3 linked regions of the Oryctolagus cuniculus genome follow. The protein of the gene in region 2 interacts with the protein of the main gene of each other region in a biochemical or structural test. Links are inferred from orthologs where the notes say so. Each region holds a gene or a part of one and is shown on either strand. Other genes may lie near its edges. The genes, in order: BCAP31, CASP8 and DEDD.

The links.
Region 1: of the proteins of CASP8 (region 2) and BCAP31, one has a biochemical effect on the other in vitro, tested with the Homo sapiens proteins (2 studies listed by BioGRID, with this or other methods). The link is inferred for Oryctolagus cuniculus from reciprocal best matches to the Homo sapiens genes CASP8 and BCAP31.
Region 3: the proteins of CASP8 (region 2) and DEDD form a complex in vitro, tested with the Homo sapiens proteins (2 studies listed by BioGRID). The link is inferred for Oryctolagus cuniculus from reciprocal best matches to the Homo sapiens genes CASP8 and DEDD.

Annotation. Positions count from the first base shown.
Region 1 is NC_091453.1:132,081,443-132,085,097, forward strand, and holds part of BCAP31 (B-cell receptor-associated protein 31), read right to left. Parts: intron 2,840-3,655; coding exon 2,739-2,839; intron 1-2,738. UniProt on the Homo sapiens protein: Functions as a chaperone protein. Is one of the most abundant endoplasmic reticulum (ER) proteins.
Region 2 is NC_091434.1:38,673,010-38,676,664, forward strand, and holds part of CASP8 (caspase-8), read right to left. Parts: intron 866-3,655; coding exon 364-865; intron 1-363. UniProt on the Homo sapiens protein: Thiol protease that plays a key role in programmed cell death by acting as a molecular switch for apoptosis, necroptosis and pyroptosis, and is required to prevent tissue damage during embryonic development and adulthood.
Region 3 is NC_091438.1:37,680,456-37,682,831, reverse strand, and holds part of DEDD (death effector domain-containing protein), read right to left. Parts: intron 1,973-2,376; exon of another isoform or gene 1,952-1,972; 5' UTR 1,888-1,951; coding exon 1,563-1,887; intron 1,239-1,562; coding exon 1,131-1,238; intron 827-1,130; coding exon 680-826; intron 1-679. UniProt on the Homo sapiens protein: A scaffold protein that directs CASP3 to certain substrates and facilitates their ordered degradation during apoptosis. May also play a role in mediating CASP3 cleavage of KRT18. Regulates degradation of intermediate filaments during apoptosis.

The sequences.
Region 1 (3,655 bases), on a different chromosome or scaffold from region 2:
CAGGTACTCTGCTATGGGATACTGGCATCTTAACTGCTAGGCTAAACACCTCTCCTGGCGGCTTGGTTTTCAAGCTGATCTTGCATCATAAAAATCCACCTTCCTTTACTGTCAAATCTGTAGCATGAAGCAAGCACCCTCACATACTCTAAGCAGGAACACTAACTGACATAAGACACCTGTTATAAAATGCAAGATGTTCGGGCCGGCGCCGCGGCTCACTAGGCTAATCCTCCGCCTAGCGGCGCCGGCACACTGGGTTCTAGTCCCGGTCGGGGCACCGGATTCTGTCCCGGTTGCCCCTCTTCCAGGCCAGCCCTCTGCTGTGGCCAGGGAGTGCAGTGGAGGATGGCCCAGGTGCTTGGGCCCTGCACCCCATGGGAGACCAGGAAAAGCACCTGGCTCCTGGCTCCTGCCATCGGATCAGCGCAGTGCGCCGGCCGCAGCGCGCCAGCCGCGGCGGCCATTGGAGGGTGAACCAACGGCAAAGGAAGACCTTTCTCTCTGTCTCTCTCTCTCACTGTCCACTCTGCCTGTCAAAAAATTAAAAAAATAAATAAATAAAATAAAATGCAAGATGTTCATACCCTCAGGTTCAGTGACTCCTTCTCTCTGATGTTATCCCACAGAAGCCTTTGTACAAATGTGCAATGTTGTGAGAGTATCTACAAAGAGGGCATTAAATTGTGGTACAACTATATGAGAATACTATGTACTCTTTAAGAAGAATGAGATTGCTGTACAACGATGTCTAATTTATAACCAGAGGGAAAAAAGCACAATCTAAAACGTGTGTGCATGATCCCACTACTGTAAACATGGTAACAGAGATGTAAGCAGAGAACACCGGTGGAAATGCATGAGAAAGTATTTGGGATGGCTGCCTGTAAGACATGGGATGATGGGGGACTTTAACTGTCTAAGTTCAATTTCTAAACTTTCAAAAACAATTAAGCATTACTTTCTAATCAGAAAACAAGATTAAAAGTCCTGTTTTCTTACACTGCCCCCTGCATCGAGGAATCTCATCGTCATAAGGCCCACCTTGGTCAACAGCCAAGAGAAGACTGGGCTGGGAGGCACTGGCTCTGCCTCATCATACCCAGGAGGTGCGCCCTAGACCCATCCACCGCCTTCTCCTGGGTACATGGGTCCTGGGGCTCTCCCAGGGAACATAAAGGGTGGGCCAGGCTGTAGCTCCAGCTGGTTGCACCCACTACTTTTCACTAACTAGCTCTTGCTATTCACTACCATTTCTATTTGTAGAGGACTCTCTCTGGATTCTGCTTTTTAACATCAGGGTAGGAAGCAGCCAGCTGTTCCAGCCATATGTCTCTCTAGAACTTCTGAGCAGGACCTTGATCCTAAAAAAGAATACAGGTTTATCAAGTACTCAAAGCTACAAAGGATCTCTGGCTCATTGAGCTGCGGTAGGAAACAGAGATGGTTACAGTACTGGAAGGCTAAGGCACTGAGGTAATAATCTCTGGCTTAATCCCTCATTTCCCTAGTCCTTGCCTCCAATCAGAACCTAAGAGCAAAAATATACAGGCACAGTTCAAAAATTCTGTAGCCTGGCTTTTCGTGGCGCTCAGCCCCAGAGACAACACGCAACTCCCCCCCGAGCTCCTGGCTCAGAGCTGCTCAGGGAAGAGTCCTGACTGGGAAGAACGGCCTCTTGGGGTCTTGCCAAGTATTGCAGGAACAGCGAGGCACTATCCTACGTGGCTGGAACTGCAAGCCGCACCTGGCCTGTTCAGAGGCAGTTCTTCCTGAACATATCCTGTCAGGCCTCAAGACATCAGGAAGGAGAAATGCCTGATGCTGCAGCTGGAGGCCTGGAGTGGGAGGCAGTCTTTGCACACTCCCCTGACCCCCGCAGTCCCCGCTGCATTTCTGCGAAGGACACGGGACGGGGGAGAGGAGTACGCCAAGCCTAAGCAGCACCACCACCATGAGACAGGACCCCTGTCCCAACAGAGCTGACACTGCGGAGTCTGAGTAGGTGGACACAGTGATCACTCAGCACAGCAAAACAGTGCACAACTAACAGGCAGACAAGTTTTATGGACTCCTCCTGCCTCCAAACAACTCTGCCACTACCTTGCCCTGAAATGTCCACCTTACATCTTAGCACCACCGGCTCCAGCCCCACCCAAGCATGCCCTCTGGTCCATTTGTCTTTCAAGCCCCTGCAGGTGTGTGTCTCAATGCCAAGGTTTATAGGACCGCAGAGCTGGAAGCACTTGCAAAGACCTGAAGTCCAGCCCAGATCCAGAGAGGTCTGGGATTTGTCCCCAAGCTACACTGCTAGTCAGCTCAGTGCCCTTTTCCATTAGCAGACACGGCAGGACTTCCTTCCACAAGGCTCCCTGTCTACTTGGGTGCTCAGCCCCTTATTTGAAGACCTGTTTCAGACACTGAGGGAGAATGCTGCTGGTTAAATGACTGGAAAGCAGTACTGCTTAGACCAGAGACATGAGCCAGTTAGCTTGTCTTAGCTTTGCTTCTAGAATGACCTGAGGAGCAACCTCGGAAATGTGAGGCAGTTGTCATAAGGATGCAGATAACGACTGCCTGGTATAGTCACACCCCTGCTGGAGGAACCTCTCTCCACAAATGCCTGGCAGCAGCACCATCTTGCCCAAAAGAAAGACGGGGGCGCCTCACTGATCTGTCTGCGAGAAGCCCCACTTGGCAGAGCACAGAACAGCAGAGGCCACACACAGCCCACTCACCAATGACCAGGAGCACGAGAATGCTGATGAGAACCACAAAGAAGGTGTTGCCGTAGGTCACGACCAACTCCACCAGGCGAGACTTGAAAATCTTCTGCCATCTGTGAAGGGAAAGCACATGATCCTGGGGGGCAGGGCCCTGACCAGCACAGAGAGTCAGCTTTGCACTCTTCTCATGGCCCGAGCGCGGCATGGTGTCAGCTTCAGACACCTGGAATTCTCCAATGTATGGTAGCTATTTAAAAGTGCTTAAAAAAAGCTGCATGTATACAGATAGGAATGCCTAGACATTAGTGGTCTCTAGAGAGGAAAACCCACTTTTCATTTGTACTCTCCTTTGTAGTACTCAAAATGTGTGTCTTGTAGGACTGGCGTTGTGACACAGCGGGTTAAGCTGCTGCTAGCAACCCATATGGACACCCAGTTCAAGTCCCAGCTGCTCCACTTCTAATCCAGCTCCCTGCTAATGTTCCTTGGGAAGCAGTAGAAAATGGCCTAAGTGCCCCTGCACCCACACGGGAGACCTGGATGAAGCTCCTAGCTTTGGCCTGGCTCAGCCCTGGCTGTTGCAGCCATGTGAGGAGTAAACCAGCAGGCGGAAGGTTTCTTTCTCTCTCTCTCTCTCTCTCCCTCCCTCCCTCTCCCTCTCGCTATAACTCTGCCTTTCAAATAAATAAATAAACCTTTAAAAAAAAGAAATATTCTTTTAAAAGACCCAACGAGGTCCTATTTTGGACATTAGTTAAGTGCCGTAAGTCTCTCTTATTCTTTAAATCCCCCTTCCTTTCTCCCTCTTTCTTTTCCAATTTACTTTATGCAAAAACCAGGTTGCCTGTACCATACAGCTTCCCAGGTTGCACTTCCGAGGGTCCTCTGAACTGCATGCAGATTTGGTTTTGGGCAAAAATATTCCTCAG
Region 2 (3,655 bases):
AGTTCAGTTGGCTCCATAGTGTTTCTGCCTAAAGACAGAGAACTGGACTGTAGAGCTGCATCATGTTTTCCAGCCCCATGATACCCTGATTGTCCTTTTGAAGTGTTGGTTTTAAGAAAACCCCTCAATGAGTACCCCCGTATCTCCATCCGTGGTAAAGATGCTAACACTTGCCTTTTCTCCCACGGCTAGACATTTGCAGATGAATGGGAGTCACCTCCCTTGGCTATTTCTCTGATCTGTTAATATTACCTCAACCACAAAGCACGTTCTAGCGGACTCTAAATATGGATCTCTAATCGCAGAGATGGGGGATGAGGCAGGTGGTAGAACTTTGAGGAGGCTTAGGTAGGCAAAACTTACTGAGGACATCTTTCTCTTAGGCTCTGGCAAAGTGACTGGATGTACCAGGTCCCCTCAAAGAGGTTTCGATAGGAGACACAGTTGTTCACAGTGGCCATCCCCAGCAGGAAGTCAGCCTCATCGGGGACGTATCTCTTTGGAAACGATGAGTCCATTTCTAAATAGGTTTCTTGCTGCTCTGAGTCTATCGCAACAGGAACGGCTTGCTGGTACTTATCCCCTTGACAAGCTTGAATGAAAAAGACTTTGGGTTTTCCAGCAAGAGAGGGGCATTTCGAACCAGTGAAATAAGAGGTCAGATCATAGATGCAGGCCTCCTGCCCATCAGTGCCATAGATGATGCCCTTGTCTCCATGGGAGAGGATGCAGCAGACGAAGCAGTCTCTGTCTTTGTGGTCCATGCTTTGGTAGCTTTGCAGAATGTCACAGATCTGCTTTGCCGTGCAGTCATTGTAATGGACTACTTCAAAGTGAAGGTCAGTGAAGGTATTGCTCAAAGCCTCTGAAAAGTCAAGTCAGAGAAGTTACACTGTAGCACAGTCATTCCCACACTACAGCCCACAGCTGGAGAGAACAGTGAGTTCGATGTTAATGATAATTTGAATCAGAACTGAAAGAACAAGACCTCCTATCTCAGTAGCTGGATTCTATAGGCAGCTGAAAACATTTCCAAGCCTTGAAGCAAATGGTAAAGGGGAGAGTGCTATTGTTGGTCCGTTGTCTTTTCTGAACTACTTTATGAGATGAGTGAACTATTATTAAGGCTTACTACCAAGCCAAATTAAAGTGTGGCTGTGTTATAAGGTCAGAAAAACGAAGTAATTTTTAAGACTTATTTATTTTAAAAGCAGAATTACAGAGAAGGAGAGAGACAGAAAGGAGGGAGAGAGGGGGAGAGGGAGGGAGACAGAGAATATTTCCTCCCCTGGTTCACTCCCCAAATGACCTCAATGGCCAGGACTGGGCCAGGCCAAAGCCAGGCACCTGGAACTCTGGATCTCCCACATGGGGCCCCAGCACTACAGCCCATCCTCTGCTGCTTCCCAGGTGCATTGGCAATGAGCTGGATCACAAGAAGAGCAGCTGGGATGCAAACCAATGCTCATATGAGCTGCTGGTATTACAGGGCGCAGCTTGACCCACTGGGCCACAGTGCCATCCCTAAAAGCAGTCATTTTCAGCAAAATATTAATATTTATTTTATGCTTAACCAGCTACAAAATGTTTGTATTTATCAAAATAAAATACACAGATTTTAAAATAGAACTGAGATCTAATATATATATATATATATATATATATATACACACACACACACACACAGTGATCTTCTCACTAACCCTCTCTGTTCCCCCACCATGTTTCATGAAGGCCAACACTTTCAGCTTTTAACTACTTTTTTGCTGTTGGATTCCATTTTATAATGAATTTGGATGCTATTTACTCAAGTACAAATTTCGGATTTCTGTATTGAGCTCTTATATTAATGATAAGCAGGTTGAATCTACAGTAATATTTATATTACTAAGATTACACAAACATAATGGTCTTTAATTATACAAATATTTCCTTTCTCATTCAACTTTTTATCTTTAATGCATTAGTAATCACATTATTTTTCCTCTTGCTTTGTTTTCTATATGCTTAATATTATTTATTTTCTACAAATGCTCTGATAGATCTGGTCTAAGTGTTTCAAAATCTTCAGGCTGCTTATTTGACCCATTTTTTTTTCTTCCTGGGAAGCTTCTACCCTTTGGCACTACATTCTTCTGCTCCAGTCCCAACTAGCTGCTCCCTAGGAATGATGAGTTTCTCTTTTCCTGGGGCATCTCTATAGTTTTTCCATAGTAATTTCCTGAAACTATGACTTTTTATCTCTTAGCTTACTAGCTTGTTTAACTTGAATAGATCTGATAGTACATGAGAAGTAAAATTTTTGAGCCTTTCATTTCTACTTTCATATGTTTTGATAGTTTAGCTGGATATAGAATTCTATTTCCAAAAGCATTTTTCCTCAGAATTTTGAAGACATTTCTTCAATCTTTAGTTTTCAGTGATGCTATTGAGAAACCCATGGACATTCAATTCCTGATATTTTATGTATTTGTCTTGACTTTTTTTCACTAGAAGCTTCTATAATGTGATATGCTTTGATGTAACTCTTTTGCAACTTCAGGCCCTTTCAGTCTTGAGACTGACTCATGGACAATTCAATGTCTCCTCATTTTCTCTGTCCTCTCTTTTTGGAACTATCATTGTCAGAGGTTGAAAATTCTTAACTGATTTTCAAATTTTCGTATCCCTTTGCTCTTATTTGCATTCTTTCTTGTCTTTTTGTCTGCCATCTGAGACTGGAATCTTCCACACTATTGAATTTTTCATTTCTGTGCTCATATTTCCATACTTTTCAAGGATTGTTTCTTGTTCTGTTGATGTTTCATAACATCTGGTTCCTTTATGAGTCTGTTACTAGATTTCTGCAAACACTAAATATAGATTTTCCAAAGGTTTATTCTTATCAATATTATCTTTGTTTCTTTCACATTCTAGTTCATTATTTTCTGATTTGTATTGTGTCTCTGTTTGGTATTAGATTATTTCTTCACGTGTTTGATGATCCTTGACTGTCACTTCATAAGTTGACTAATCAATGTATTTGTTTTTATTTTTTAAAGATTTATTTATTTGAAAGGCAGAGTTACAGAGAGATAGGGAGAAAGGAAAAAGAGGGAGGGAGAGAGAGAGAGATAAAGAGAGAGAGAGAGAGAGAGAGAGAGAGGTCTTCCATCCTCTGCTGGTTCACTCCCCAAATGGCTGCACTGGCCTGAGCTGGGCCAGGCTAAAGCCGAGAGACAAGAGCTTCTTCCATGTCTGCCATGTCGGGTGGCAGGGTCCCAAACACTTGGGCCATTTCTGCTGCTTTCCAAGGCATATTATCAGGGAACTGGATTGGAAGTGGAACAGTGAACCAGAGCCTGTATGGAAAGCCAGCATCACAGGCAGTGGCTTAAGCTGCTAAACTACCACACCAGCTCCAACTAATCAATTTAAAAGTTGACTGTGTTCATGAGTGGGTTTGTTCACTGGTGGACTTCATAACATACTGATTGGCTGGGGGCCTGATTGTTTCATTAGGGGACCCCTAGATATCACTACCTGTGAGTCTTTTATCTGGGGCTCTCAGTTTTTCCAGAGGAGAATCCATATCTGCTTCCATGGTTCTTGGAACTAAATTGGGTTAGACAGTTGACTCCATGCTACCAGGAGGTTGAATTTTCCTTACTCTCTT
Region 3 (2,376 bases), on a different chromosome or scaffold from region 2:
TATTTGAAAGGGAGAGTGACAAAGAGTGAAGGAGAGAGGAGATCTTCCATCCACTGGTTCATTCTCCAAATGCCGGCAACAGCTGAACTGGACCAGGCTGGCGCCAGGAACTACAGCTGGTAGTCATCTACTACTTCTCAGGCACATTATAGCAGGAAGCTGGATCAGAAGCAGAGCAGCTGGGACTCAAAATGTGCTCCAAGATGAAGCAGGTGTCCCAAGCAGCAGCTTAAACCACTGTGCCACCCCAGGACTAATTTTTTCCAGAGGACTCTGTGCCTCTGAAATTGTTGCCTGATTGCAGGAGGTTCCCTGCAGTGGAATATGCTCAAGTCAGCATTATTCCTATCACAAGCAGCACCTTGCTCATAGGAGATAATTTTCCTAATTAACAGGCATAGAAGTTAATTTTAAATCTCTATCTAGACTTGGTTTGCCTTACAATAAGGATGGCATAATGGCACCCTTTTGATCAAATGTTCAACTAAAAAGAGTTTAAATGTATCCTTCCCTAAGATAAAGAGTTCTTCCATGAGAGAATTAACCATTCAACTTCACTTTGCTATAGTAGTCAAAGTGAGGTTTGCACTGAATATTATAAATTGCCCAGTATCCAAGCACTTCTTTATATTTCCCCACAAGTCTTATTCCATCTCTGGAACCTTTAAAATTTTCTTACCACACGTCTGCTTTTCCTTGGGATCTGGTGTCACTGACTTCCGACGTTTCCGCTGGCTCCCAAGTGTGGCTCTCCCTCGAGCTGGCCGCTTGCTACACATCTGAGGACCGGAAGTGGGGCAGCACACCACAGGATAGTGGGGAGGCACTGGCCAGAAGGTAAAAGGGAAGAAAACACAGTCGGGCAAACGCAGAAATCCAAAACACTTCTCTTGGATTGAGGAAGGAGACATTTAGACTTATCACTAAAAACAGTGTCAACAACGTGACCTGAGAGGAGGATACAAAGTTAGAGCCAACACAGAGCCTACGTGAAGTATTAACTCTTCACCTCGTGATTCACGGGACGGGTGGAGGATAGCATCCCTCCATTAGGCCGGCAAAACCAGCAATGTGACGGTAGAGTCCTCCTATTTGATTAGGGAAGTTTGAGGGAGTTTCTATCTTCTCACCTGTTTTAGGGGGCTGGGGAGGCCTCGGTTCTGGGTCACTGAGGGCTCTGGGGGTCACGTAGCGAATTGATGTCTCTTCCAGATACTTGTCTACAAGATCAGGGCACACTGTAGAGGAAGGAGGAGTCATTCAGAAAAGAGACACCCTTCTCTTCTCCCAGTCCAAACCTCACTCTTGTGAGTGAGGACCGAATCGGAAGACAACAGCCAGGACTAGAACCAGCGCCCATATGGGACGCCAGTGCTTCAGGCCAGGGCGTTAACCCGCTGTGCCACAGCGCCGGCCCCGTGAGTGAGGATCTTGTAACTTCACTCTTCCAGGCGCTTGCCAGGCTCAACGCCTCTTCCCCTTTGGATTACTACGCTGCTCACTCCTGGCCTCCCACACCGCTTCCCTGATTCCAGTGGTCCCAGCCCCCGGGGCACCCTCACCAGCCCGTCTCCTCTTGAGGGTGACGTAGGGCAGCAGGTCATGGCGAGTGATGATGCGCAGCAGCTGCAGCACCTGACGAAAGTTACTCTCATCACAGCGGCCCTGGCGTTCCAGTGCCAATAAGAAATCACGTCCATTTCGGATGAGTCCACGCTCGTGGTCATCAATGACATCCACGAAGAGGAAGGAAAGCACACGCACGTCTCTGTGTGTCAGGTGGGTACCCACGATGTCAAACATGCGGTGCAGGCTATACAGCCCGTGCTCCTGCTCACCATGCTCTTCTGGCCACACCTGGCTTGCTCTCCGCTTTAGGCCCGCCATGCTGGGGGCTCAGGTACGCAATGCTTTCCAGAATCCCTGCGCAGCAGCTGTAATCCCCACTGAACTGTAAGGACAAGGAAACAATCTATGAGCCACATGACAGAAATGAGTCTCACCCATTCCTGTATTCCCAGTGCCTAGCACAATGCCTGACACAGTACAGTAACGCTACACATGTCTTTTCATTATTATTATCATTATTGTTATTTGGAGAGGCAGAGAGAGCATCCCCATTTGCTAGTTCAATCCTCAAATGTTTGCAACAGCTGGGACTGGACCAAGCCAAAGCCAGGGCTAGGAACTCAGTCAAGGTCTCTCATATGGGTGGCAGGAACCCAGGTCTCCCACATGGATGCAGGTGCCCAAGCACCTGGGCCATCTTCTGCTGCTTTCCAAGGCTCATTAGTAGGGAGATGGATTGGAAGTAGAGCAGGGGCCAGCGCTGTGGCACAGTGGGTTAACGCCCTGGCCTGAAGCGCCAGCATCCCA